Kluyveromyces lactis: one gene and its partner. The protein of the gene in region 1 interacts with the protein of each later gene in a pairwise test. Links are inferred from orthologs where the notes say so. Each region holds a gene or a part of one and is shown in the gene's direction. Other genes may lie near its edges. The genes, in order: CYR1 and SRV2.

Evidence for each region.
Region 2: the proteins of CYR1 (region 1) and SRV2 interact in binary tests that used the Saccharomyces cerevisiae proteins (3 or more experiments, as listed by UniProt). The link is inferred for Kluyveromyces lactis from reciprocal best matches to the Saccharomyces cerevisiae genes CYR1 and SRV2.

What each region holds. Positions count from the first base shown.
Region 1 is NC_006042.1:1,440,135-1,455,811, forward strand, and holds CYR1 (adenylate cyclase), read left to right. Parts: upstream 1-7,614; coding exon 7,615-13,317; downstream 13,318-15,677. Other genes in the region: rRNA-processing protein SOF1, read left to right, coding at 1-912; PSR1 (phosphatase), read right to left, coding at 1,426-2,670; POM34 (Pom34p), read left to right, coding at 3,421-4,608; MEU1 (S-methyl-5-thioadenosine phosphorylase), read right to left, coding at 4,754-5,770; copper metallochaperone COX17, read right to left, coding at 6,237-6,398, 7,160-7,189; SYS1 (Sys1p), read right to left, coding at 13,448-14,041; DRS1 (putative ATP-dependent RNA helicase), read left to right, coding at 14,601-15,677.
Region 2 is NC_006037.1:996,102-1,011,954, forward strand, and holds SRV2 (adenylate cyclase-binding protein), read left to right. Parts: upstream 1-9,168; coding exon 9,169-10,812; downstream 10,813-15,853. Other genes in the region: KLLA0_A11550g (uncharacterized protein), read right to left, coding at 1-1,050; INN1 (Inn1p), read right to left, coding at 1,356-2,522; THO2 (Tho2p), read right to left, coding at 2,787-7,379; U2 snRNP complex subunit YSF3, read left to right, coding at 7,675-7,677, 7,754-8,014; KLLA0_A11616g (uncharacterized protein), read right to left, coding at 8,154-8,795; NAM9 (mitochondrial 37S ribosomal protein uS4m), read right to left, coding at 11,019-12,467; EAF7 (Eaf7p), read left to right, coding at 12,859-14,067; peptidylprolyl isomerase FPR1, read right to left, coding at 14,366-14,710. UniProt on the Saccharomyces cerevisiae protein: The N-terminal domain binds to adenylyl cyclase, thereby enabling adenylyl cyclase to be activated by upstream regulatory signals, such as Ras. The C-terminal domain is required for normal cellular morphology and growth control.

The sequences.
Region 1 (15,677 bases):
CAATCTTTGGATCATCATAGACAAAAATCGAATTTTGTTACTGGTGGTGCCCAAATCGAACTTTGGGATACAAACAGATCAAAGCCAATATCAAATCTTTCATGGGGTGCGGACAATATCAATCATGTTAGATTTAATCAAAATGAGGTCGACATTTTAGCAAGTACGGGTAGTGATAACTCTGTGGTTCTTTATGACCTAAGAACAAACTCTCCAACACAAAAAATTGTTCAAACCATGAGGACAAACTCTATCTGTTGGAACCCAGTGGAAGCCTTCAACTTCGTAATTGCCAATGAAGATCATAATGCTTATTACTATGATATGAGAAATATGTCCAAAGCTTTGCATGTGTTTAAAGATCATGTTAGTGCTGTTATGGATGTTGATTTTTCCCCTACTGGTGACGAAGTTGTAACAGGCTCCTATGATAAGACAATCAGAATTTACCAAGTTAAACATGGTCATTCGAGAGAAATATATCATACAAAGAGAATGCAGCATATTTTCCAAGTGAAATATACCATGGACAGTAAGTATATAGTAAGTGGTTCAGATGATGGTAACGTTAGACTATGGAGAGCCAAGGCATGGGAGAGATCTAATGCGAAGAGTACACGTGAAAAGAATAAGTTGGAATACGATGAAAAACTTAAAGAAAGATTCAAGCACATGCCAGAGGTCAGAAGAATTAGCAGGCACAGACACGTCCCTAAGGTTGTTAAGAAAGCTCAAGAGATTAAGAAGATTGAAATTGATTCTTTGAAGAGAAGGGAAAGAAACGAAAGAAAGACAAGGAAAGACATGCCATTTTTACCTGAAAGGAAGAAACAAATCGTCGGTACTGTCTTTCAATACGAGGACGACAAGAAATCTAATTCGAATAGATCCAACGATTCCGAAGATGAATAAAATATATGAATTTCTATCAGTTTTGAATTAGATATTTATAAATTTGTAACGTTAATAAGCTCGAAACATGTCTCTTTTTTCTTGAAGTTATAAATCAAGGTAGTTGATCAAGTTTTCCTTTCAATGAAAAATCGTTTTTAGCAAGGAACTATCTTTTACCGAGATTAGCAGATATCTTCTTTATAATTTGAATCATGGGTTGCATGTAACGAATTGAATCCTTTCATATTCTTTTACAGTATTAGATTAGAAGTATAGTTCCATAATAAAAGTGAGAGAAAAAGAAAAAAAAAAAAAAGAGGAAGTGAACACAAGAAGAACCAGCCTTGCTTGCCCAATATAATATGATGAGTATTATAGTACTAATGAGTCTATCAATTTGAAACTATGGCAATGAATATTAGAGAGAGGGAGAGAGAGAGAGAAGAAGATGTGGTCATGCAAAAAAAAAAAAGACCCAATATATGCAATCGTTTGCATAAACAAAGCATAAAATGAATCAGTACCAACTAATTATATTGTCACATCTAAGATTTCCCCAACATCAGGTACCCTCTCTTCAGCCAAGTCTTCCAGAAGTGGAATGATGTCAAGCAATTCATTATCGTGGGCATCTGAAAACCAGGATGAGATTGGAATGGCGTGCTGAGGATGGAATATGTAAGAAGCAGGGGAATTATCCAAGATAATCATATCTGATAGTGGTCTACCAATTTGGGAAAGATTCTTGATATAATTGCCCTCGTAGTTGTAACAGGAGTCTCTGAACAACCTATGATGAATAGTTTTGTCCTTGTCCAATATATCCAACAATGGGTCACCGTAGCGGGACACACTTGCAGTAAACACCACGACTTCGTATAGTTCAGTAATGCGTCTCAAAAATTCGTCGACACCAGGCCTTTTTATCACGTACACATTGTGAACTTGGTTATCGATTTCCACAGGAATAACAAAATCAGCAGTACGTAGATATTTGAAAGAGGAATGGACCAACGTTTCATCCAGGTCTAAGACTAGACATTTCTTACCCTTAAACATATCGGCCTTCGGCAACAACAAGGTATTGCACCCCGGTGCATGGGCCTGATCTGGCTGCAATTGAGACAAATCCAAAGGTTCCCCATCTTCGGGCTCCCCATTTGTCATTTCTACATCGCTAACGCCTTGACTATGAATGCCCTCGGAGTCATCCGCACTACTGGTATGTTCAGTCTCGTGAATCGTGGTCGTGACCTCTGCAGTTGGCTGAGTTGCAGACACTGCGGTGTCTGCAGTTGTGCCAGTACTTGTATCAGATTCAGCGTTATATACCAACAGTGTTTGCTTTTCATCCCCTTTTACATCCACATCGTCATCTTCCTCTCCAACCATGTCAACGTCAACGACATCACTATCAGTATCGTTATTACTAACAGCAGCCGTATTCTTCGACAGCGGACTCTTCTCAACAGGCGCACTTGCAACAGCCGCTACAGTTGAGCTATGCTTGTTCGCCGCATTTTTCTTTTTCAGATGCATCTTGGCTGTAGAATTGGATAACGTAGTATGAATTTCTGATTGTCTTGAATGAGTCGCAGCAACCCCTGGACGTCCACTCTTCTTTGCACTTAGCGTATTCTTGCTCTTACTTTTCTCCGAGCTTGACCCACTAGAACCTTTATTACTATTGTTACTTGACGATGAATTCCTACCCTTCTGTTTCCTAGAGCTATCCGAATCGCTTGAACCACACAATAAAGATGCAATGAATCCCATCACTTTTATTCCTAACAAAATCAACAGCGACCTATAAATAAATCGAGACACTGAGCGAGTGAGAGAAACCAAAAATCACACACTGAGCCCAAAAAAAATGGATAACCGATATTAATCAGATTGGTTTTTCAAACGGATTGATACTGTTATTAATATATGTTCTTTCTTTCTATCTAAGCAAAGAAAGATAGCAAACAAAAAAAACCTAAATACACAAACCAATCAGGCTCCCTGAAACCACTGGCCCCTTGATATAGTACCCGTACACTGACAAATCCCGGTACTTTTCAAGACTTTACTGCCCTTCTGTAAATGGCCTCCAAAAAAAATTAAGTTGCAGTTAAAATAAGAGAGTTAGTCAATGACCAATGTTCTATTCTCAAAATTGTTTAATCTGCAAAAGTTGACTGTTTCTGGTTTTTCCATGCTGAACAGAACATCAAAACTTAAAGAACGAACCAAACGAAGCAAAAAGAATTTTTTCTTTTCCCTGGCACAAGATGGTGCGGGTAACGAGATGTTTTTCACTTGAAAGAGATAGAGGCCGGCTTGAAGATTCACTTCTTAGTTTAACTACTAAAAACACAGCTAGTTCTTCAATGTTAATAAATAAGAATCGTTCAGTTTTTACCTGGATACGGTAAGTTTCATATCCTGATATTAGTGGTGTTTTTACTGTGGTAATTGATCGAGAGTTTACCCCGTAAATACAGGGATCAAGATATATAAAGGAAAAAGGTGAGAGTAGCAATGGATAATGGAATTTCTGCGCCTGGCACACCGGCCAAGACTTTTCAGACTCCCAATAGGCCTTTGAGCCAGCAGCAATTTCAATCCTTAAGGGAAAAAGCTATCAAACAGTCGCCTGCATTGTATAAACACAAGGTATTGAGTGATCCTACCAGCAAGACTGATGTTTCCAAGTCAGATTCTTCCTCTGTGTTTGCTGCATCTGCGTTCTCTGGCAGATTTGACGCGAAACCTTCAGCATCAACTAATACACATACCGCATCCCCTGTTTTTCGAGGAAAAAGTAACCAGGCATATTCTACACAGCAAGATACCGCACCAGTGACAAATTCTGATCTGCTACCGGACGAACCGGTGGGACAGAAACAACAAACGGATTTGAACTTTTCCGAAGATTCCGCATATGATAAATTGACTGATTTCGAAAACCCGGCGTTGGCTGCTTTCACATCTCGTATGGTTAATAAAGAGTTGGAGATGAGAAGGTTGTTGACTAATGTAGTGTTGGCAATGATTTGGAATCTCATATACAAATTCGTGTCATTATTCTTCCAATTCACTAAAAGGGGATCCCAACTTCGAGACGAACTGTATCTTTTCGTATTGAAAAACGTTGTTTATAAGATTAACCCACATGCCAACATCAATTCATTTTGGTTCCAAATGCTTTCTTGGCAATTTGCAACCAGTATATTCCATACTATTGTCATTTTTAACATTGCATCGTGTCTTTGGAACTTGCTGATAAAAGCACAAAATACGGACATATCAGATTTGCATCTAACCGAGAATCAAAAACGCTTGTTAGGGGTTGTGGAAAGCACCCCCGACTATGGTAGATCCTTTGATCCTTCAATTAATATAGGTAACTCTAAAGTGAAATCCTTAAATGAAGCAGAATCAAAATCCAGCCACAAGCCTTTCATATTCAAATCTTTACAGACTCCAATGAAAATGCGTGAGTTGAATACCCTTCAGCAAGCAGAAGTGAAAAAAAATCATGTATCTTTCTCTTTACAACCGAAGAAAGTAAACGCCTTTGGTGTCGATCACATAACAAATGTCTCCAATACTCCTACAACTTTATTCACATCGACACGCTCACAGCCAGACACTCGTCCCGGATATATTCCAAGCAACCGGTATACTTATATGATGGACTCACCAAGTGCGATGAAGAAGCGCTGAAAAGCATGCGTACTTCGGAGAACGATTCTTTTTCTTCTTCTTTTGGTTTCGAACCTCTGATAGCAGTTATGATAAGAATGTTATTACTTACATGGCTACCTACCGCGTATAGTTTATAAAGTTTATAGAAGAGAAATTTACAGCGTTACCAATGGTTTGGGAATAGAAACTTTAGCTTGGCCAAGGCATCTTGAGACATGGCTTCAGGTTTTGTTGAAATGGAGTACTTCATGGCATCCTTTAGACCATCACCGTTGTTCATAAATTCAGGAAGTTGCTTTGCCATTTCTAAAATGACCCGGGATGCCAAATGGTTAGCATTTTTGGCATTGTTCTGTAAATTACGGATAACAGTTTGTACAGACACTGGTTCTTCTTCGTCTCTCCATGCATCATAATCGGTAGACATACAAACCATCTGGTATAGAATTTCACATTCACGAGCCAATTTCGCTTCAGGGATCACACTCATGTTGATGACATCTCCACCCATCAGACGGTACATCTTAGATTCAGCCCTGGTCGAAAATTGGGGACCTTCCATACAGACAACGGTTAGTTCTCTATTGTAGTGCAACAGGCAAGGTTCTTCAGACTCTGGGTTTTCCAGAATATCTTTGAATTGATAAATATACTCAGCAAATGACTTGGAGAATGGTTCACCGAACACAACATGCCCAACTAGGCCTTCATCGTTGAAGTAAGAGGACTCTCTGATCCCCTTGGTTCTATCGATGATTTGTTGAGGCAACACGAAGTCTCTTGGTTTAATTTCCTGTTGTAAAGAACCGACAGCACTGAAGGACAAAATAGCACTGGTTTTCAAGTTCTTCAAGGCAGCAATGTTAGCTCTGAATGGAACCCTTGTTGGTGGGTACTCATGATTCACACCGTGTCTAGCAATAAAGGCCACATGGAAATGCTCAGTTTCATCTGATTTTACACGAGACACCGTGATTGGAGAAGAAGTCTTACCCCAAGGTGTTTCCATACACGGAAGAATGGCAATTGGTTCCAAACAATCCAAAGTGTACAAACCAGTACCGCCAATGATTCCTAGATCAATAGTCCCATCAAAAGTCTGAGGTAACTGCGTAGAATTCGTCATTTTAAAGCTGTAGAATTTCGGGATAACGTTAAACTTCCTGACGAACGTTTTCATAAAACGAATAACGTTGTAAAGAGGAACTAGAAGAGTTTTGGTTCACCAGATCAGATTTGAAAGGACTAATTTACAGACAGTTTTATTTAAATTAATGCATGCATGCGCTCATTGTAAACTTTTCTGAAGATGGAGATGAGCATTCGAGAGACAACGCAGGTGAAAAAAAATGAATAATCACGTGCTCTTCTTCTTTTTCTTTTGTTTCAATGATACTATTAAAAAGACACAATTATTAACAGAACCTAGCTTCTAAGACTATGCTTTTAATTGCATAAATGATTTTTGTATAGTTGTAGGTATACTAAAGTTGGAATTTGGAATTTCTGGTTATCGCAGTATTTACAGGAATGAGGATGGGGTAGTCGAAAACCTTCCAAACCTTCCAAACATTGATATATGTATAAATATTCTTCTCTTCGCAAAGTTTCGTCATAATGGGTCAGCTGCCATTGTCGCATTAGATTCAAACTTCAAAGCCATATCCCTTCATACAGGTCTTATACTTAGCGATCAACTCATCGCACTTACCGGATTCTTGGCCATTAAATAGAAGACATTCGTCTCTAGCTTCCTTTTCTGGCTTGCAAACACAGCATGGCTTTGGCTTAGTAGCCTCTGTCTCTGTCTTAACTGGAGCAGTGTTGGTCTCTTGTGGCATTGTTTCTATAGAGTTTTGCTGTTGGGATGTGTCTGGATATTGAACTGAAAGGTATCAGGTTAAATGGTGACAGATTAAAGGGCTGGTTTCAATAACTTACCTACAATTCTTTACAAACCATCGACATGTTAGTTGTATTACTAAATCCTGTGAGAAGCTTCTCAGTAGTTACCTTTTTGAACTTTTAACATTCAGTGTCTGATTTCATTACCCGGATAATGCTCATGTGACTTGTCCGATTGATTATCTAATCCGCCATATATGGTAAAAATGTTCGAACGAAGAGTCCATATGGAGAGCTGCTGGAAGTTGAATTACAGGCTCGATAGAGTTCTCCTAGAGATAAATAAGAAGTTGGTACATTGTATAGAATATCAAAACCACCAGATCAGCTTTCAATTTCAACTGATTGCTGAGTTTGCAATATCAGTCACGTGGTAATTTTATATCTCCTATCACCTCTCTTATACTCTTCATCCTTAACTTAGGGCAGTAAAATGAAAAGCGGACAGTAGGTTCAGTTTGAACATGAGGTCTCATTAAAGCTAGCAGCTGGATCCCTCACATTGCAGCATTACCGTTCCACGTATGATGATGTCAAAGCTTCCCTTTTTGTTAAGGGGAGACTTTGCACGTTGGAAACGAAAATTTCTCACTGAATTGATGGAGAGCTGAAAAAAATGTGAAATAACAAAATGTGCAAAATATAATGTTTGATACGGACATACTGATGCACTAGATTGGAAATTCAGGTGCATAGTAAAACCCTACTTCACTCTGGTATTGTCATAACCCAAGTGCTCATTGAAATATAGTGTTACAACGATTCAATTGTGTTATCGTGTTTACGCTGGTGTTGAAAAAACCAAGTACGTTGATCATTTTGCGTTCTTAGTTAATCACTGGTTTTTATCAGACTTTGATTTGACACTATTTGTAATTAAAGACAATAATATATCTTCAACAGCAATTTGTAATTTTAATTTCTGTTGACAAAAACACAATCGATTATAGTCTCACTTCATTTTGGCATAATCTTTGTCAGAAGTTGGATAATAATCATTTTCCTTATAATAATCTGTCCTGTTTGGATTCTTAAGTGCTGGTTTATGGGTACTTGTATTCATTTGTAAATTCAACCACTCAAGACAAACCACAGTGCGAGAGAAAGAAGAGGTCAACTATGAATCCACAACCGAAAGAAACTAATCGAAGCTCCATCTCCTCGGGAGCAAGAAACAGTGCTGGCAGTGCTTCTTCAAATAACAGTATCTCAAGTAAAAATAGCGGTAGGGAGTTACAACCACGAAGCGATACCGATAGCGAATGGCAAGACGTTGGTATGCCCACTTTTAAAGAGGACTATTCCATAGATGCAATTACGAAGAAGGTGAAACCTGGGAAAAAGGGTTTCCATTCTGCTATAGTTCGTGATGCTGGATCATTCGCGCACAATCCTCAACCACCTTTGGCAAAACCGGTGAAACCCACTTTTGAAAGGTCCCGGACTGCAAACCTGACCGCAACTTCATCAAGAGGTAACCTGCCGCTACTTTCGCGCACTTCCAGTACGCTGTCAGTATCAACAGCTACTTCACATGGACATAAAGGAACTACCAAACCGTCACGTGCAACTAATTTCTTCAAGAAACTTACCAGCAGGAAATCATCTCTGGCAAGCCAAGGAGGGCCTCCAGATTCAGATAATCAAATAAGCCAAGGTGGCAGAGTGTCGGCTTCAGATGGTGAACAGCAGTCACCCTTTCATCAACAGTCTCTGCAACAGCAAGTTCCCACTAACGCTTTGCGGAGAAAGATGAGCACATTCATACATGGTTCTTCAACCATGTCTGCGGCGTCTACTTTGACATCCGCAAATGCTCCTCATATGAAACACTCTGGGTCTAAGGGCAGCTCCCTGTTACATTCAGGTAACGAAGCCAGCAATGGTTCAAATTTAAGCGGTGGGAATGCGACAAGTGGCGTTTCGAACCAACAACATGGAGTAAGTTCTGCAGGCAGAAGTATTGACACAGACCTGTCAAGAAGAAATTCAGGGACCTCATTTGATGCTTCTAAATTATCAGCCGCTAAAGAAATATTTGGTGTTGACCTAGATTTAGACAAACTTTCTGATATGACGGATGTCGTCGTTACTTCTAATGCACCCTCCGCAGAAACTACGGACAAAGTTCCACCAAAATCACCTAATGCGTCACAAGATACCAAGGATGCTACACTTGCGCTACGGAAACAATGGACTGCTCCAGAATCCTGGGATGTTGATGAGACGGTCGGTCTTGATGTTAACAAAATTAAAGAAAGACATAAGATGTCAAAGGCCAATCGACATAGAGGGAAAAACCGCAAAAGGTACAGCAAATCACAAGGAAAACATACCAAGGGGTCTGTTCCAAAAAATGTCATTGCGAAAGATACTTCGGAGCCAGTAATTCCTCATGTACACCATCATGACTTTGAAGAAGACGCATTGTCACCGCGCACTTCTCCTCCTAACAGAGGATCGAATGACGAATCGGGACTGCATTTATCAGAAACGAAAAGCTCCGAATGCGATCTTTGTTTCACAATTTCTCCCAACGGCGACGAAGACTCAGACATTTCCATTGAAACCCAATCAGAAAGCCTAGACGATATAACTTCTGCTAAGACGCAATCTCGACCAGGTTCGCCTCTATCACAAAAAAATATCGAACAATATACAGAACTAGATGGAGAAACCGAATACGAAGAACATATGCTTGAGAAGTATTATAGTGATCTTTCGGATATTGACCAAACCAAAAAATATGCTATTAGAATCTTCAATGTCGATGATACTTTCACAACCCTTTCATGTCGTCCAAATACATCTGTGGCCGAACTTATACCACAAATAAAGAAAAAGTTTAATATTCAACAGGGGAATTTCCAGTTGTCGTTGAAGGTTGGTAAACTATCTAAGATTTTACGACCAACTGCAAATCCAATCCTCATCCAGATCAAGTTATTACTATTGAATGGTTACAAGAAGAGTGATCCGCTCCATATTTTGGGGCTCGAAGATGTCAGCTTTGTTTTTAGTTTCAAATTCCACCCGGTGACCACTTCCCAATTAACAATAGAACAACAACAGAGGCTCTCGAAGGGTGACTTCATTCATGTTGACTTGAGAAACATGGACTTAACTACACCTCCTATCATTTTTTATCAGCATACTTCTGAAATCGAGAGTTTGGATGTTTCTAATAACGCTAATATCTTTTTACCTATCGATTTCATTGAAAGTGCCGTTAAGCTATCCAGTTTGAGAATGGTTAATGTCAGGGCATCTAGGTTCCCAGCCAACATTACACAGGCTTATGATTTAGTTTCCTTGGACCTAGAGAGAAACTTTATCAAAAGGGTACCGGAATCCATCTCCAAGTTGTCCAATCTTACTATTTTGAACCTTCAATGTAACCAGTTAGACAGACTTCCATCTGGATTTAAGAATCTCAAGAACTTGCAGTTGTTGGATATCTCCTCCAATGCATTTACGGCGTACCCCGAAGTTATCAATAGGTGTACAAACTTATTACAGGTTGATCTTTCATACAATAAGATAAATTCACTTCCACTTTCCATCAACGAACTAAGTAAGTTGGCGAAGATGAACCTATCCAACAATAAAATTCAAGCTGTTCCCGATTTGTCAGGTATGGCAAACCTACGGACTCTCAATCTAAAAAACAATAGAATTGCCACTATCAAATCAAACGCCCCAAATTTGCAGAATTTATTCTTAACCTCAAACAGAATTTCCGTTTGGGAAGATTCACTACCTAAACTAAGAAGCTGCGATTTGACAGAAAATCCTGTTACTTCGTTCGACTATAGAGGTAATGTGTTATCTAACCTTACAAGTTTATCTCTAAACAAGGCAAAACTATCCAGTTTACCTATCGATTTTTTGAAAACTTTAGAAAAGCTTGAGAAGCTTGAATTAAATGACAATAACTTAACAAGTTTACCTGCGGAAATCAAGTACTCAAAAAAACTAATTCATTTTTCTGCCGCCAACAACAAGTTGGATAGTATTCCGGAAGAAATAGGAGAACTCTCCAATCTTAAATCACTTGATTTACATTGTAATAATATTAGAGAATTACCCATTTCAATTGTAAATTTAGAGCTAACAACATTAAATTTCTCCTCTAATTTACTTGGCTACAACCCCGGATTAGAGGACTATGAAAATACCCCTTTATCAAAATCATTACTATTTCTCAATACTGCTGACAACAATCTCAATAATGAGATGCTTCCTTTATTCAACTTCAACACTAGCTTGAAGATAATCAATCTTTCTTATAATGATATTTCTGATATTTCTGCATTAAACCTACCATCGTTGACAGAGTTGTATCTATCCGGCAATGCTATCACCAGCTTGCCCGGTGAAGTGTTCCAAAGAATGAAGAATTTGAAGGTGATAATGTTAAATGGTAATAAGCTGATGTCACTACCATCGGAGCTCTCTCAACTTTCGAATTTGACAGTTCTAGATGTTGGTTCAAATCAATTAAAATACAATATCTCAAACTACCATTATGATTGGAACTGGATGAATAATTTGAACCTAAAATATTTGAACTTTTCTGGGAATAAAAGGTTCGAAATAAAGTCAATGATTGGCCCTGATACTAAAACAGATTTGTCCGACTTGACAATCTTAAAACAGTTAAAAATTTTGGGGTTGATGGATGTTACAATGAAAACCTCCAAGGTTCCTGACGATGGTGTCAACTTTCGTCTAAGAACTACCGGATCCATGATTAATGGTATGAAGTATGGTGTTGCTGATACTTTGGGTAAAAAGAGCTCCGTGTCAACTAGAGATATCAAGTACGAAAGATTTAGAGGCAAGGATGATGAGTGCTTGTTCTGTCTTTACGATAGTGTGAATGAAAACGCCTCTTCTGGTCATAAAATCTCACAAATCATCAGAGACATATACGATAAGATTTTAACAAGAGCTTTGGAAAAATATGGAGACGATACTGACGAAAACATAAGGACAGCATTGCGGTTCAGTTTCTTACAGCTTAACAAAGAAATTAACGGGATGTTGGTGTCTGTTGAAAATGGCCTGAACAAATCTGAATTAACTACCGTTGATTTGCTCAGTGGTGCATCTGCAACAGTCGTATTTTTCAAAGGCAAGTCAGTGTATACAGCGAACATTGGTAACATCGGAGCTATTCTAGCGAAAAATAATGGTGATTACGAGGTTTTGACTAGGTTGCATGTTCCTACTAAGAGAGATGAATATGAAAGAATAAGAATTGCAGGCGGTTATGTCAATAGTGAAAAATTAGATGGTGTTTCTGAAGTTTCTAGAGCCGTAGGATTCTTCGATTTACTGCCTCATATTCATGCATCTCCAGATATTTCGGATTTCAAGTTGACCTTCTCAGATCAGATGATAATTATTGCATCACATAATCTTTGGAATTATATCGGTTATGAAATTGCATCTGATATTGCTCGTGAGAATGGCTCAGAACCTATGCTGGCTGCGGAAAAGTTGAAAGACTATGCCATAACTTATGGCTGTACTGATAAATTGACAGTTGTCTGTATAAGTGTGGAAAAGGGTGCTACTGAAACGAATAGATTCAATATAAGCAAAAAAGATTTGTTATCGAGAAAAACTGCATTTGAAGATAGTTCTCTCAGAAGGCTTCAACCTGAGATCCCCCCTCCCACAGGTAATGTTGCCATTGTTTTCACCGATATAAAGAATTCCACTTTCATTTGGGAATTATTCCCTGATGCGATGAGAACCGCTATCAAAACACATAACGAAATAATGCGTAGACAACTACGTATTTTTGGTGGTTATGAGGTGAAGACTGAAGGTGATGCATTCATGGTAGCATTCCCAACACCTACGAGTGCTTTGGTCTGGTGTTTAAGTGTTCAATTGAAACTTTTGGAGGCTGAATGGCCGGGTGAGATAACATCTATCAGGGACGGTTGTTTGATCACGGACACTAGCGGCAACAAAATTTATCAAGGTCTTTCAGTGCGTATGGGTATCCACTGGGGTTGTCCTGTGCCAGAAGTCGATGTTGTTACCAAGAGAATGGATTATCTAGGCCCTGTTGTGAATAAAGCTGCAAGAGTCTCTGGTATTGCTGATGGAGGACAGGTCATGCTCAGTAATGATTTTATGGTAGAGTTTAAGAAGATTTTAAGCTACCACCAGCAAGTCACTGAAGATAATATTCCGCTCGCAAAAGCCTACGGGGAAGACATTGTGGGTGAAATTTTAGAACGAGAAATACACATATTATCGTCTATAGGATGGATGTTCGTCGAGCTTGGTGAACAAACGTTGAAAGGGTTGGAAACTAAAGAACTTGTCACCATAGCATATCCTAAATCACTTCAAGCGAGACACACTTTGGCAACACAAGATCAGAATAACAGTGTTATTTCAGATGATTTTCTATTCCAAATTAGATCAGTGTCCAATAGATTGGAGACTGTCCTCTCCTCAGTCCAAGGTGGTCTTATCGGGCTGGAAAATTCTGCCAATGGACGATATACTACCTTTGATAGTAATACCAAACAGGCCGTTATGAAAAACTCGTCCGAAGCAGATCTTCTTGCATTCCTTGACCATTTAATCACCCGAATTGAATCGTCAGTCGTCTTAATGAACTTACGCCAACAGGTCCAGGGTGGTTTAACCATATACAAATCTGGTGATGCAATGAAACAGAAATCAATCTTCCAATTGCTGGATGACCTTCTAGCCAGAAACCAATTATACATAGAAAACAGCCATAATGACGAGAGCGAGCAACAAAGCTTCAAATCTTTTCCGGAGGAGTAGAGGACTTGATTTCTTTATTGTTACGTCGAAAATGTCTCATGGTTTCGGACCCTTTGATTAATTGTCGTGATTTCATCAAGAATAATATAACACATTTCCATTACATAAGTATATAAACATGCAAAACTTTTTATTTTTGTGCTTCTAGATCTCTAAGTTCGATGCTTTTCCCTGGAACTTGAGAAGCTGGCTGGCTGGCACTGGCAGGTGCAGAATCGTCATCCACCATACCTTCGAAAAATGTGTCTTTCAACTCTCTCCACCTGGTAATCCAAGTCCCAAGGAAAATCAATATCAGTGTAGACAAAAATTGCAAGATAAACCATGCTAGTGAAGGGAATAGCCCTGTGTGTGTCCATACTACTACTAGATTTATAGCATGGATTGTAATGGCAAAATCCCACGCGAGTTTACTCCTTCCCACTATGATGGTCAAAAAAAAGACACAAATCAAGGAATCAATTAACCAAAGGGCTGATAAAGAAATACCAAAAGAGTTTGAGAAATCAATGTCCTGCCATGTAAACAACCATTGCTTTAGCTTTATTTCGTACCCACATATTTTCGCCCAGCAATAAAACAAAGTTGATGCAGTGAGATAATAGAACATTTGCAAGAGTATAATCTGAACGATTATTTTACCAGGGGACTGAGACTCTTGTTTGAAGATTTCAGTGGGTAATAGTTCTCTCGGAACACGCATGTATCGTCTAAGCGAAGCCATCTCCCTGATTGGTTGAAATGTCTCTAATCGGTCGCCTTTCTAAAACTGCACTTGGTACAGTTCAATTCTATCAAATATAACTGGTGCGAACAACCAAAAGAATTCACCGAATATTATAGGAGGAATGCAATAAGTAACGAAAGAGGACTAACTACTCAATTCTGTCTTTATTTTCAAGTCTCTCAAATCATGTCTCAATCACAACTCATCTTGGATTTAATATGTTGCTTAGAGATTCCGAACTAGTTTCCATGTTGACAACCAGTGGTTACCCTAACTTGACGATATGTTTTTCCTCAAAAGAAATTTTCCATGTTCAAGCTTTTCACATCTGGAATGGCGATGAGATGAGCTTGAGATGAGCTACGACAACTAGAATAACTTAGCAGTGAGTACTGTTCATTGTTCCTTATTATAACTTCTACAGGTGACATACTATTTATCTAGTGCTATTATTCTTCACTCATTTCTACTTTGCGAGAAAGAATAGAATTCTTGTTGTTCTTTGATTGAGTATTAAGGTAAGTGGAAAATAAAGAGATATACGGCATTCGTTAATATGGCTGTTAAGAAGTTTAGATCATTCGATGATTTTGTTCCTACAATTAGTGATAGCGAAGAAGATGTTCCAGATTTAGATGCTTCTGATGACGAAATGGAAAAGAAGCCAGTGAAGTCCTCAAAAACTAAGAACAAATCTAAAAAGAAGGCCAAGCAACAACAGGGATCTCACTTGGACGAAGATGTCCATGAAGATTTGAATCCAGAATTCCAATTCTCCATTGACAGCGGAGAAGTTACCACCAACTTTGCAGGCTGGGATTTCCAAGGTGATGAGAAGAGTGATGAAGTTGAGAAAAAAGATGTCGATCTAGATGGGATCATTAGAAGAAAAGGTGGTTTGATTATGATGGCTGCTACAGGCAGTGATGCCGAAGAAAGCCTATCAGAAGAGTCCGAAGAAGAACCAGAAGAAGGAGACGAACCTGGCGAGAGTGATGATGAAGATGAATTAGCTTTGGATGGGTTCGGTATGGGTGTCAAGAGAAAGGCAACAGAGGAAAATGAAGAAGATGAAGAGGATGAAGAAGAAGAGGATGACGACGAAGATGACGACAAAAAGACCGAAATGAGTCAGGCAGATTTAGGTAAGGGAAAAGACGAAGATGAAGACATTGAAGAAGACACTAAAGAAGAAATGGCTGAATTTTATGCTCCAGAAGAGGAAAGTGCGGATGCTAAAAAGATCGTTCATAAAACTTTCAACAGCTTGTCGTTATCCCGTCCTGTGTTGAAAGGGCTTGGAAGTTTAGGATACACCAGTCCTTCTCCAATTCAAAGTGCTGCTATTCCTATTGCCCTTCTTGGTAAAGATATCATTGCCGGTGCTGTTACAGGTTCTGGTAAAACAGCTGCTTTTATGATTCCTATCATCGAACGTTTGTTGTACAAACCTGCACATATTGCATCAACAAGGGTTGTTGTACTAACTCCAACCCGTGAATTGGCTATTCAAGTGGCTGATGTTGGTAAAAATATCGGTAAGTTTGTTAACGGACTAACGTTTGGTTTGGCCGTCGGTGGTTTGAATTTAAGACAACAAGAACAAGCATTGAAGACCAGACCTGATATCGTA
Region 2 (15,853 bases), on another chromosome or scaffold:
TTCACGAATGTATTTCTCTTTATTGAGTAAATAATACTCTTCCCATAGCATACCTTTCGGACATTTGGGGGGTACCCTGGGAGGAGGAAGAGTTGGTTGCTGAAGTACATAAAGTTGTCGTCTCGTTTCGTTTGTTTCTGGAACTGACCATCTTCCATTTCCCAAATATCCAGTTAGTTTTACATTAGCACTTGGGAAACTATGAATAAACATAAGCTTATCACCCAATTGCAAGCGAGCGTATTCATTGTTCAGTAGATCTTTTGGAGTTTCTTTGATAACTAAGGTATCGTAGTCATAGTTTCGAATCTTCTCTTTATTTTGCTCGATGAATGAATATACACCGCTTGTATCAGAAGACTCAGCTTCGTAGCTTTTCAATCCATGAGTGTAATTTCCTGCAACTACAGCTTTCTCCTTACCATCATATATAATGACATTGTCGTACACTATGTCATCTGAGTCTATGTTTAGATCATTACGTCGTTGATGCCTAGAATGTCTTCTTAATCGGGGAAAAAATTTAGGACTAGATTCTTGGTCCCTGGGTGTTGTAGCGGGTTTACTTTCGGGACTCTGAGGTAGTTGCTTGGGCAGTTTGGTCTTAATTACTGGAGAGCTCTTCTCGCTTGGACTTTGTGGGCTTTTCAAAGGTATAATAGGGCCACTTGATGGGAAAAATTCGATGTCTACTATGAATTGGACATCTTTTGCAAGTGAATTCAATTCAACAGACTTCCAAACGACATAATATTCTCTTAGTGCTTTAGGTCTCAATTTGTTGATATTAATAAAATCCTGGTCTAGGACGTCCCTCCGTCGACAACCAAGAAGATCATTCTTCAATCGTGGCCTTCGCCTAAATATAATGAACTCCATATTAGTATCCCAGTCTGCAGCTCTAACATTAAGTTCTAAGTTTCCCCTAATGGAATTGAATCGTATTGCATTTTGACCCAGTTTTAACATGAAGTATGTTCCAACTTCAAGCTGTTTTCCGACAGTTATTTTACTGGGCAGAATTATCAATTTACCATCTTGTCGTATCATTAATCCACTGCAGTGAGGTTCCTAATTCGAATAGTATCAAACATAATACAGCAGAGTCTTCTTTCGAGTATTCTTGTGCGATTACTTTAAAGTTCTTTCTTTATATATTCTTTTCTCATCTTAGGACCCTTTGGTTGAATAATCATGCAAAAAGGCTTAGCATTGACAGAATTCAAGGTGCAACGATTGAAACCATTTTAGATTCCAAGGCTTCGAGAAGATAAGAGGAACATCTAATATGAGTAGTGATAGAAAAACTTTTAACTGTCTATCCTATCAATGATTATGTAGTTCTAATAAGTCATTTATAATGGTGGTGGTCTCCTCCTTGTTGGAGAAACCGAGCCTGATCTTGAAGAAGGCGAAGAAAAAGAATTTGGCAAGTTCGGTAGCCTTGGAGTAGTAGGTTGTCTCACAGGAGATTTTAACGGATATTTTTGTCCGGCTGAATGTCTCACTGAAGATTGGCTGGATAGTCTTGAAGGCGTAGTCGGAAGAGGTGGTAATGGCGGTTCAACAAACGATTTTGTAGGAAGGTGATTCATAGGCGATGGCTCGTCAATGTTCGTTGGTATTCTTGAGCTTGAGCTACTCTCGAGACCGCCACCTACCACTTTCTGTAAGACTTCCAAATCCATCGCAGTGTTGGTGATACTCTCTGTAGATGGTACCGAGGAGCCGTTCTTGAAATAATTCAATTTTTCTTTGATCAGCTTTAACTTGTCCATCAGCCCATCAGTAGATTGGCTTTGTTGCGAATGATAGGTATTTGCTGTAGCATTAGACCCCATCGATGAATCAAAATCTATTCTTTCACTTGAAGCGTGTGATGATCTAGAAGTATCGAGGTTTATAGGTAGATCAGGAAGTGGAGATTTTATATGAGAGCCGTGAACGTATTGGCCTGGGGATGCGGAAGCAACGAACCGCTGCTCACTTGCCGATGTCTGCAGTTCATATTGTGCATGTAACTCCGGTGGATCTGACGGTAGTGGTGGTACTGACCTGGACTGTACACTGGAACTTATTTTTGGAACATTGTCGCGTCTGTCTTCGCTAATGTTATTTGGAACAAAAGTCAATTCAATATACACCTTACCAGCTTCCAAAGGACCCCTCTTCAGATGATACCACCTATCATGGCCTTCTTCAGGGTCACTTAGTAATGCAGGCAAAAGATCAACATCGCACTTCCCAATGAGCTTCGAACCATGTTTGTGATCATGGTCATCGTACAGTTCAACGCAGAGTAGAGGCTTGATATCGGGCGTTAGTTGAAAAACACAATGGTAATCAAATTTTGGAGTTTGGCCGCCTCTGTATATCACTGGAGATATCTCCGTAAGATGAGCTACTCTTAACTTGACGAAAGGATCTTGCTTGTCTAACTTTCTTAGATTTGGAAGGTCCTTCGCTTTACTCACATAAACATCTAATCGACCATTTGCTCCGGTTATCACGTTATTGCTCATTACACTTAATGCCTATATCGATTGAAAGGTGTTAACAGTGCTTATTGACCCATAAAGAAGCTCTATTCAAACTGTAAATATGTAGTTTAGCTTGATTCAATCTTATATTTACATAGGTCTATGTTTTTCAACATTTTTCATATTGACAGTTTTACGTGGTAAGAAGCATCAGAGTCTCAGGGAAAGACCGTACAAAATCGAAGATAATTGGTAGCATATATTATGCTATGCTATTTAACTAAGTGTCGAGTTAAGTATTTTTATTCACCTCGAATATCTCGATCCTCCAGATTGTCTTTTTGGACCAGATGGTAATGGCGATTGGTTATTTGTAGAACGATCGTTCAACTTAGGCTTTTTAACGTTTGAGAATCTGCTTGAACTTTGGTAAGATTCATCAGATTGCCTCTTTCGTGGTTCGGAGGGAGTATTAACGAATTTCTTCCCTTGATTGAATGGTCTGCTAGGAAGCTGTGATGTGTTTGAATTGCTGATACTTCTGTTGCTAGACGAATCTTTTCTTGGGCCAGATGGTAATGTGTTTTGGAATCTGCTAGATGAACCTGAGCTTGCAGGACCAGATGGTCTTGAGGAAGTATCCGGAGGCTTAGACGCGTTGGCTGGTGCTCTTGGCAGAGTTGTTGAGGCTATACCATGTTGATAACGAGAAGAAGCTGCCTTTCTTGGTTCACTAGGTATTGGACGGTTACTGGAAGTGTTGGAGTTCCATCTTTCACCACTGTACTTCGATGAAGGTTTAACAGGTACTACTTCATCTTCATACATACTTCCAGGTGTCTTGGTTTGAGGCAAAGGAGCAGATTTGCATCTTTGAATAAAATTTTCAAAGACAGATCTGTAGTGATCAGGTGGATTACTAGTGACTCGGTGGTAATAGTCCTCGAACAATATCTTCAATTTGTTTCTAAATCCAGAGATGTTGCCTGGAGCTTTTATCAATTTTCTAAAATCACTCTGAGTGTTAGAATCGTATATCAAGGGAATGGCTCTGGTGTACTCAGCATCCTTAATGTACTTCTCGATCTTATAAAAGCCATCCATGACTTGCGATGGAGATGGAGAATTGTTGGATATGGACGACATGGATGGTGCGGTAAGTGAAGATGTTGCAGCACCGTTCTCAGCATCCTGTTGTTTTGCCTTTTCCCTTTCCTTTTCTTTCAATTCTGCTTCTTCCTTTCTACTTTGCTCTGCTTTTGCAGCTTCCTTCATATCTTGGTACCTTTTGATGAGATTCATCTCGTCTTGCAGTTGTTGCTGTTCTTCCGCTGAAACTTCACGGAAATCCGATGTCTTAGAGGCGTTCTTAAGTCTAGCCTTTAAGTGTCCTTTCAAAGCGTTTGATGGCAAAATGATATCCTCCCTTTGCTCGTGTTCAATTAAATGATCCAAAGTGTCTAAAACCAATTCCAAATGTTCATCAACGACAGGGAAGATTTCGCTTATAGCATTTAAAAACTGGATTGTGTTTCTAATGGACATGTAATTGGAATCCTCTAAGGTAAATGATAATTGTTCTGTTAATTGATAGTAGAGGTCATATATTACAGGTTTAATTTTGTCATCATCCAATAATGTAGTATGTCTCCAATTTTCGATTTTGGTAATAATGTCCTTCAAAAACGTAGCGATGTTGCTCGATTCATTTACCGTAGAAGAAAATAGTAAGGTTCCTAAAATGTTTGAGGATGTGAATTGCCCTAAGATATCAATTACTTCTTCGATATTAAATGTTTCAGTAATGAAAGTTGCGCAAAATATGGCATCAAATGGTGAAAAAATGAGTCTAGGAACAACGCAGTGTTGCAAAAATGAGGTAATACGCTCACGGGAGAATTCGGGGAACCATGTCTCCTTGTTCATTTTAATCATGTTCTTTGTCTTTTCAAAAACGCTTGCATGCTGAGATAGATCAAATTTGACTGTCTGTATTGTGCTTAATAAACTATGCCTCTCTTTCAAAACTTTAGCAGCCTTTCTCTTGTCTTCGTAAATGATTTTCTGCTTCGTGTACAAATCTTCTTCTAATCTAATATCATATAAGGATAACCGCCAGAAATCAATGAATAGACGTTTATCAATATTTTCAAAATTGATGCCTTTGAAATCAGTCTCATATAGAATTTCGTTGATTTCATCAGCATCATTTTCAGATCTCGCCAGCTTTGTATCGAAATAATGCCTCCAGATATCAAACGCCCACTCAACAGGAAATTGATATTTCTCAATTAAAACGTTGAAAGGTAGAATATTGGCTTTGAATTGTTCTTCAGTCAAAATGTGCTTTAACATTTCAATAAATGACCAAAGTAATGCATTGGATTCATCGCATTTCGCTGATAAGATTTTATAATGAACGTTATTATCGGTTTGAATCTTAAGATTCAAATTTGTGAGCATGATAATCATTTCTGACACTGCATTAAGCTCTAACAAGTAATTGACAATAGTTTTTGAAGGTTGATAATACTTATCTCTGAAATCCAAGATAAGATTTCTACCGATTTGTTTTAAAAAGGATCCTGAGCTTATCATTAGCAAAGTGTTCCAATTTACATCATACAACGTTTGTATTCCTGCAACTTGGGAGATTAACTCCTTCAAAATAGCCAGGGTAAGCGATGGATCCTTGTAAAGATTTTTGACCAAAAACACGAATATGTTGGACATACTCATTTTAGAACAGCCTTTAGCAAGACCCGCAATGAACAAAGATAATCTGCTAATCCACATTTTGGGAGTAATACCATCATCTTGTAAAGTTGGCCTTTCCGATGTGAGCTTAATTAATAACGTATACTGTAAAACATCGTAAGCGAATTCTGAGAAAAATTCGGCACTTATGACGATTAGTTCAGAGACTTTATCATAATTTTCTATTTGTTTTAGGATAGAGTCTAGAGTTGAAAGAGGATTGCAGGACACGAAGTTAGCAACATCCCTGCACTTAAATGCAATGTTGTCAATACTCAAAGATTTTAAAAGTGACCTTATCCGCTTTTGGTACTTATTAAATTGTAACCTGACATGTATGTTGTCTTCAGCAATCTTTGTACTTAATTCATGGTACATGAAGTATCTTCTTTCGAATGGGAAGTGCTTCATAACCGAATAAATTGCATTTGCAACAAACTGCTCATCTTCGACTAGTCCTAATACTGGTAGCATAAACTTTCTGCAGTAATTAATCCATAAATCCATAACCGTTTCATCTTCTAGGTTATCTAGAATATTTTTTTCAGCTATGGCGCATATATGTTCAACAAGTTTAGCATTAAGAATAATACGTGGACCGATGCTTTCAAATATTAGATGTGAATAATGAACGAGATTCTCTATCGTTTCAATTGGAGTCAAATTCTGTCGCCAGTCTTTATTGTAAAATACAAATTCTGTCCCTTGAATGTATTTGTAGTCTTTCCCCAAAGACCTATATTGCCTGATCAACCGATCTTGTTTAGTAGGAATTCCATTGTGAGATAACTTCAAAAGAGGTCGACAATGTTCTGAAATAGCTGAAGGGCTCAACTTTACAGTCAAGGGTTCGATCATGTTGTCAAACACCTCGAGAAGAGATTTCACGAGACTATCGTTCACGGCAAAGAACCGAGGATATTTGAATAGAGCATACAATCCTGGAACAAAGTGCCCATTGACAAGTAACCTCTCTACTAGTTTCCATTTTGGTGATTTTTCAACAGTTTCTCGAAGTAGTGCTTCTTTTTCCTTCTCCGATATCCCAGTATCTGCCGCTGTATTGGTTTTATCACCTTCCGTATTTTTCGAAATGGTATTGTCTTCGTCAGTAAGGACGGAGGCCATAGCTAACGGATTAAGAGATCCCTCCAAGGATTCCTTTTCCAATGTCGTCAGCTTCCTCTCTACAAACTCATCAATGTCAGTATCGTACGGGGTCAGGCAATCGAATATAGCAGCAAAAGAGACAAACCCGCCTTTAATTAGATGAACCACTAAATCGATGTAATTTGCATCTGGTTTACCATTATTAAGGTAATTTACTATCAACCTGGTAGCTATCGGATTACCACCTTGGTTCAATTGTTCATACCGTGAGCAGTTGGCCAAATTCGAAGATGGCCAGTAGTCTGTAGATTGCAAAAGCTCAAGAATAAACTCAAAATGGTGTACGACATGATATGAAGACACTTGTAATAGTATATCCATGCACCTGATTGGGTCTAGCTTATATTTCCCCATAATATATTTCAACTGTTTACTGTAATATTGAACAGATTGGAATTTGTCAACATCTTCAAAAGCGATATTCAACAACGTTATCAGTTGACTGAAACCAGTAGAGCATTCTAGGAATAAATTTGGTTTTTGCAAAAGGAAGAACTCGGGAACGATGCTCTTTTTGAATGCGGACCAAAAATCTTTGGACCATCTTTCTGTACCCTTTGAAAGAATTTGGTCGTTCAAATAAATACACACCTCTAACTGAAGATCCTTGGCACACCCAACTAAATCATTAAACCCATTGTTCGCCTCCCAAGGGTATGAATTCGCTAACGAAACAAATAGCTCGAAGTTATATCTATCCTCGTTGCATAACGCACTAACTATTTTGCTGATAGCATCCAAATTTAAAAACTCCGATTCATCAGATTTCCCATTGATTAAGGAAAAAGCTTCCAGAAACAAATCATACACATAATCAGATTTCTGAGAACTGGCATCTAAGGAAAGGTACTGTGATATGATTGTTTCTACACCACGACTTGGTTCATCGAAAAACGTCTTGTCAAAATAAGTAACTTGTTCATCATTTGGAAGATTGGAAGCCAAATTATTCAAACAGTCGTACAATGCCATGATGAAAACAATTTACCGTGTGCCTAATTCAATTGGCAAATGCAAATACCCCTATTGCTCTTCCGTCACCAGGACGCTACAATCATGAGGTTGATGTTGCGCAATGTATGTGTTATATCTTTCACAGATTTTTAACATATTCAAATTCGATATTTGAAAAATGTCGGCATGGTGAGAATGGTAACTTGAATAGAGTTGATATCTCAAACAGGGATGAAAAGAGTCACAGCAGTCAGTATACTAGGTATTTGACTAAGTTAATGGTATCAGTGAGAACAATAGGAAGTTATAAACAATGGTATGTACTTTTTTTTTCCAATTTATGTGTAATATCCTATGCTGACCAATGATACTAACTACTGACTTAACTGCAGAGTAACAAAGTGAAAGAGGAACTGATATATGAAGATATGCGGAAGAAACATCCAGGGGTAGGGAGTGCTAGAACAACAAAGGAAGAGTGGTCTAATACGATAAGCAAGGACACATATGCCAGCTTGGCTATTCATCAGAACCTTTTAGAGTATTACACATTGGCGTCAGGATTCCCTTCCAAACGGGATGCCCAACTAACACTGTTACGAAAACTTGCAAACCCGCCAAAACCAATCAAAAGGGATATTGGAAACGATTAATGATTATTATAGATATTACACAAGTGTATTTGCAATATTTTTGTTGTTGGTACATGCGGTATTTAACGTGTATTTTATGTTAGGTGTATCGAAGTTAAAAAGCTATCGAAAACGCTTTCAGAGATTGTAATATATTTAATTAAAGTTCTGGCTGCGAAGAAATCTCTGTTAAGATTCTTCTGCCATCAATTTCGGCCTGGTTGAACCTCTTGTGTAACGTTTCTAAATCCATGTTGGAAGCAAACACCTCAGCGTGGGCTGAACCAGTAGGAAGATCGATAACTTTCAAGTCTGTAACTTTGCAGTTGCCCATCTGTTGTAACACTCTTTGTAAATTAGAAGGGTTCGTTCCTATCGGCAAATTTCGTATCTTTAAACATTTCAAACTCTCTTTCAATGAAATAACCAACTTCTTATTATTACTGTTATCACTATTGTTTCGTTGCTTAGATCTAGCTCTATTCTTCAAATTATGAAGCAAATTGACACGTTTGTTCGATTGAATTTGTTGCTTATTCTTATCTGAGCTGGCTTTCATTTTATTGCCCTGCAAATCAGCAGCTAACACAAGTTTACCACCAAGAAATGTCAATCCAGTCTTTGCTTTGGCCTTTTCTGCCTTTGCTTTCTCTGCCCTTTCCAAAGTCTGCTTCTTCTGTAATACGGGATTTTGGCCACTAGAATTTCCAACACGCCCAAACAACGAGTTAGAACCTTTCCCTACACCTTTTCCTCCCCCATTCCTGGACTTCGAATTACCATTCCGATGCTGCGATGCCATATTTACAATAAAGGACACACAACAGAATTCTCCTTTGCTATCTTAACCAGAAAAAGTAAGACCGTACTAATTTCCTGAATCGTAAGAAAAATGAAACAGAGTACCACAGTCGTATAGTAACCTGATGTTTCCTTTCGTAACATAAGTTAACATCTTAACCTACCATTCCAGAGTTTTTCGTCAACTTTGTTCTCAATGGTCACTTTTACATGTTCATCAGAGACACTTTTAAGGAATCAAGAAAAAACAAAAAAATAATAGAAGAGAAACATTTTAATAGGGGCATTTGCTCTGATTTTGGTGTATGAAAGGCTTCCAATACGGACGGTGAACTGTAATCAGGACGTTTGAGTGGATTGAAGCAAGTTGGAAAATGACTGAAACAAATTTCTCAGTGCAGGGGTACAATTTGGTAAAACTTTTGAAGAGATTGGAGGATGCTACTGCCAGATTGGAGGATGTTACGATTTATCAAGAAGGCTATGTTCAATCCAAGTTTGGCTTAGAGAAAGACGGTAAGGTTGATGGGTTCGCTGATTCTGTTACTGCTTCTTCTGCTGAAAGAATTGCTAGTGCAGGTTCAGGCGCATCAGCAGCTTCTAAAGAAGCCGCAACACCGGTAGCAACAGCACCAAACAGTACTGGTGAATCGAAGGAGGAAGAACCGAAATCAATTCAAGAATTTAAGCATTTCATTGAACAGAACGTTGATCCTTTGGTTAAATTATCCGCTGAAATTGATCCTACTGTTGAAAAAGCTGTGGTGTTTTTAGCCAACGCTTTCAAAGCTCAGTTGGTGTTTTTAAAGGCAGCAGTACAATCAAAGAAGCCAGACTTTTCGTCATCTGCATTCGTGAAAGGTTTGACCCCAATTAACGAGAACATCTTCTCTATTGGTGAGTTGAAAGAGGAGAACCGTAACAGTAAGTATTTCGCTCATTTGAATGCTATCTCTGAGGGATCACCACTGTTCTCATGGATTGCTGGATCTACACCTGTGTCTACTATCACTGATTTCAAGGACGCTGCCCAGTTTTGGACAAATAGAATCTTGAAAGAATTCAGAAGCACTGATCCTAAATCCGTTGAATGGGTCCAACAATTTTTGTCCGTTTTCGATAGCTTGAAGCTGTACGTTAAGGAATACCATACCACAGGTGTGACTTGGAACGACACTACTGGTGAGGATTTCGAAACCGTATACGAAAGAGTTTCCAACGAGGGATCCGGAGCTTCTTCTTCTGGTGCTACTTCCAGTGAGCCGCATAGTTCAGGCGCCGGAGCTCCTCCACCTCCACCTCCACCTCCTCCGGCTTCCGTATTCGAAGTCAATGAACAATCAAAAGAACAAGAATCTGGTGGAATCGGTGCTGTGTTTGCTGAGTTAAACCAAGGTGAAAACATCACTAAATCCTTAAAGAAAGTAGAAAAGTCTCAGCAAACACATAAGAACCCAGAACTTCGTGCCTCAGGGAAGGTTTCTGACAAAGCTGTTCCTCCACCTAAACCAAAGAAACCATCTACTCTGAAGACTAAGAAGCCTCCAAGAAAGGAATTGATCGGTAATAAATGGTTTATTGAAAATTATGAAGATGAAGCCGAACCGTTAGTGATCGAAACTAAAATTGACGAATCTGTTTTCATCGGTAAATGTGTCAACACATTGGTACAAATCAAAGGTAAGGTCAACGCAGTTACTGTCAATGAAACAGAAAAATGCAGTTTAGTGCTAGATTCTTCCATCAGTGGTGTGGATATTATTAAATGTTTGAGATTTGGTATTCAAGTGGAAAACACCCTGCCACAAATCACCATCGACGCGTCTGATAGCGGCTCCATTTATTTGAGTAAAAACTCTTTACAGGCTCAAATTTTCACCTCTTCTAGCACTGGTATTAACATCAACACTCCAACTGGTCCCGATGGTGACTTCGTTGAAGTTCCACTTCCAGAACAGATGATACACACTTTCGTCGAAGGTAAACTACAAACCAAGATTTACGAACATGCTGGTTGAATATCTGAATAGTATATCTTCTCGTTACTGGGTGTTAGTTTATTCTTTACTCATTAGAACATATAAATATATATATATAATTAATATAATATGATACGATAAAATAATGATAATAATATGTACAAGGTTTCCAAGATACACCATTCTTTTTAAATTGTCATAGTCACAGTGTATCCATTCTTTCGTGTGTATTTGTTTTCGTCAACTTATTTACCCCTTCTCACATAGTACATGTATGAACGTTCATGTACAGGTAAGCCGAATGGAGTAATAACTTCAGATTGACCTGGACGTGCAACAGGGTCTCTTAAGTAGACCGCATGACATGTCTTGAATGATATTTCCAAATGGTGTGGTAGAATGGCGAATGGTGCTAAGAAGGGTCTTGGTTTCCACGGAGTGAAATATGGTTTAGATGGATCGTTACGACCAAACACACCCTTTTGCCATGGTAAATTGATAGCTTTTTGAGCAGCTGGTTCGTTTTCCAATAGTTCAGGAACATTGATCTTTTGATGCAATGGTAACTTTTCAGCCCACTTAGCATCGTATGGAATATCAACAGAATCAACGGATGCCATCTTGTCATTATAATGTTCTCTGACCACGGTTTCATAGAAATGTCTCAAATCAACTATAGTATGATTGATGGCTCTGAATTTTTTCTTTAAGGCATCGTTTGTGTTATCAACAGGTTTAGTTATTCCTGTAGCCACCTTTAGCAATTCACCTTGTTCATTAGGAATTTCAGCCAAAGGCTTCCCTGCTATCGTTTCCACAGCCTTGGCAGACTTGACTTCTCTATAAATTTCGAATCCTTTAGCTGCCAAATTTTCGTTATTGTAAAATTCGCCCAAGAAATCTTTTACTGCCAATTTTTCTACATCGTTAACGCGGTTAACGGTAGAAAAGATCTTAGCTAACAAATACTCGTTACTGGTTTGGTCTAATTCTTTCCTCATTTGAATGTGCATGGTTTTGTTGTAGTTTTCGAGGAAGGATAAAAATTCCTGTTTCTTTGGATCGTTACTATCCATAGTTCTTAGTTTTTCGATCTTTTCATCCCAGAACTTTCTAGGATTCTTTCTAGCCTCTAGAATATATTTGTTCCATAGGAAAATTTGGGTATTATCCACTTTCAAAGCTTCCTTCAAGCTAGGTTTCTTGGCACCAAGAGCTTGTAGCACTTTTTCGGGTCTGACGTTGAAAACATCACCAGCTTTCAAGGCATATCCCGGAGAAGTAATCTTTACACCATTCACATGGACGTTGCCATGTAAAATAAACTGACGAGCTTGTCTCACTGACGAGGCAAACATAGCTCTAAACAAAGCAAAGTCTAGCCTTTTCTCTAGTACAGCGTATGTTTGTAATAGAATGGGCGTCGGTTCGATATCACCACCCCTTAGAGAAGCATCTAATTGAGCCACAGAGTTTAGCTGAGGCTCGAAAACAGACTGCCACCTACTCTCTGTTAAATGTTCGCCATGGTAGGCACGAGTTTCCTGTTTAGAAGTCCATTTCTGTTGGTATAGTGTTTTCGATCTAAAACTGACCTGAGATTTCTTATACAAGTTGAACAAATTGTACTTGTTAAAAGAGGTACGAACCTTCCCTCTGGACAAAGAGTTCAGAAGTACAGCTTTCCTAGGCATTGCTGGTCTTTTTCTTCACAATGTATTGACAAAACTAACCAGAATTGACTGCTTACGGACTCTTCGAAATGGAAATACATTGCATATCCGAACTACCTGCATAATATTTTTCAATCAAACGCTATCTAATGCTTGAAGCTTTCCGATATTGAAAAATTTTTAGAGGAATTTCGTGACATATGATATCAAATATTAGCATTCATAGTTTAGAAAGATGAGAAACACCATAGAACCATATTGAGATGGACTGGCGAAGATGGTATCAAGCCTCATACGATCTGCTTTATCAGCGATCTTGATAGGAACTTTATTATATCAATTGCAAGAACGTTCTTTTGGTGTATAAGGTTGTGATACTTCAGATAAAAGTAATACGATACGGTTCACTGCGATGTCCGCTGTAAAGATAGAATCACCTAGAGGGCAAACATGGAGTAAAGTGGAGGAAATAAGGCTGTTTAAATGGATGATGCTGTTCAAACCTGCAGGAATACATAAACACTTCCATATGGTGTGTTTGCTTGAGCGATTGAACAAGCCAGATCAGTATCCAATCAAACTTTTGCAAAGCGATAAAGGCAGCTCAGATAAAGTGTTTTCTGGGGAGGACGTTTGGGAACAATTGAGTCGGTACTATAATTTAGAGAAGGCAGATGAAGTAGAGAACCAGCCATACCCTGAATTTTATAATGATGACGGACCAACCGAAACTACAAACAAAAAGACAGAAGGGGACGCTCAACTAGATAATGATGATGACAGTGACAATGATGTTGACAATTGTGACGAGCTTAAGAGAAATATAATACCATTACAAAATAGACTCCAGCAAGAGACGGAATTTGAACTATCGTGGGAAGATTATGGAGAACTTATGTTAGAACATGCTAGGGATCATGAGGTGGAAGATATTAAGCAAGAGGAGACCGCTTCTGCGGATGACAAGGCAAAACTGAAGGGTGCGGAATCACAGGATACGCAAGTAGAACAAGAGTCAGAAGAGCCACGGGAACGAGAAAAGGATATCGATGAAAAGGATACTGAGCAAAATAATGTACAGGCGAAACAAGAAATGGCGACCACTCCGCCAGTCAGTGTTGGAGAATCTGTGAGCGAACTGGCGAATGAACCTGTCGATGAACCTGTCGATGCTCATAAGAAACCAAGGACAAGACGCTCTACAAGGTTGACACGTTCACAAAAGCGAGGCATTGATGACGAAAGTGAAAACAAAGAAGACCAACCCCATGGCGGAAACACCGATGAAAAGGAAGATGTCGAACACGATACAGAAGGGAGATCTGGTAGCGAAAAAGAATCGACTGCTGATGCCGCAGATACTACAGCTACAAAACAAGTCACATTTGCTGATGAATCTGAAGGTGCTGCCAAGGAATCAGCTAATTCGCCGACAGGGAAAGCAGAAGAGAACGAAACGGAATCATCTCAACAGCCGCGCCCTAAGAAACAAAAAGTTGCCGCTGCGGAGGAAGTTCCTGAAGATCTTGCCGACGTGGATTCTCCAGCTAGGAGAACAAGAAGAAAATCCATAACAAAACCAACTACAAGGCTCTCGAGCAGGCTTAGAAGCAGGAAGTAGTTGTTCTTGATTGTTTTTTCAATAATGCAATAACAACATAATATAGCTAATGGTTTATATTATAGGCATTTCGTTGATGTACAAAAATTGAATGTTAAAATGGAAGCATACAAACACTACGGCTACAATTTGATAGCAATTCCCATGTTGAAAGGTTGATGAGAAGGTACGGAAAGATGTAAAGCTATAATAATAATAATGGATGGGACCAATTGGAAGGAATCAAGGGAGAAACCAAAGAAAAAATGTGAAGGAAATTAATAGTATGTGTTTTATTCAGAAGAATGACATTATACATCTAGTTAATCTTCAACAATTCAACATCAAAGACTAAAGTAGCATTTGGTGGGATCAAACCTGGGAAACCACGTGGACCATAAGCGTATGGGCCTGGGATAGTTAGTCTTGCCTTTTCACCAACGGACAACTTTGGAATAGCAGCATCCCAACCCTTGATAACTTGACCTACACCAATGTTACATTGGAATGGAGAACCTCTATCAACGGAAGAATCAAACTTTTGACCGTTTTCCAAAGTACCAGTGTAATGGATTGTTACCAAATCGCCTGGTTTTGGGAAGTTGGTACTGTCACCTGGTGATAATCTTAGAATTTGAACGTTACCTTCAATTGTTTCGGACATTGTTTCTGCTGTTTGATGTGTGATAGCTGAGTTATTTTAAAACTGCAATACAATAACGGATTAAACTGACACAAAATAGCACTCAATTGGCCTCGTAATTGCAACAGTTTCGTGTAGAATGTAGGAATCCTTATTATAGAAATGAAAACTTTTTGTTTTCTGAACGATAATGATTTCTAGAAGCAGTGGTAACGTATTTAATGACTTCAAGACTTTCAGCATTTGTCACGTGACTGCATTCTTTCTTTCTTACTTAAGCAATCACTTTTCGCGGAAACATGCCTGTAAGAGGTTTGAGCAGACGCAACGGCAGCACAGCCAACATTCAGGTCAGTTCAAATAAAGATCATCGAACCTTTTAGCATAGGGTTTTTAAATCACCTGAAATTGTACATTCCTGAACAACAACCGACGTCACTAAGCCGTACTACATCGAATATCCTACGAAATATCTCATTTGCTATTATGCTCTGTCCGCATCTGTATGTCCAGAAGTGTTTGAGATTTATAATTGCTTGATAATTAAAAGGTGAATAACTATAGCAAGAGCCAGGTTTTCAAAACTTTGAGGTATGGTGCTTTGTAATTCAGCCCTCATTTGCTTTATTTAGAATTAACGCCTCGATACCTGTTAAGGGAAAGTGAGCAAATTCTTGGTTACTGGGTCTAGAAGAGAACATTTCTGGAAAAGCAGGTTGATCCTAATTGTGCTGGTCAACTTGTAGTCGAGTAGATGTGAATTCACAGTAGCACATCGACTCTTATTCATAAACGGAATTGGTGATACTTAGAGCGGCTTATTAGCTAACATGTTATGAAGTTTCATTTAGTATTGCAAAATATTCCGTTGACTGAGCCGCAGAAAAGAAACTGCCCAGCGAATATGTTACGTCGTACAAAAATGTACATAGTCTTGCAATTCAGTTCCGTAACCATGGGCTATCGAATGAAAGGTGGACTAAAGAGTTCTCCGATTTCGTCTTCACAGTTTCTCAATGACGGATCAAATGGTTCTTCCGCATTTTTTGCCTATTCTGTTAATACCACTGAAAGCAAGTTTCGACTCGTGCACTGTTTCATACTGTTTCTAGGCCCACAGGCTGAAATAAAGTTATTCGCGTTGATCGTTTCTTCTTTGTACAT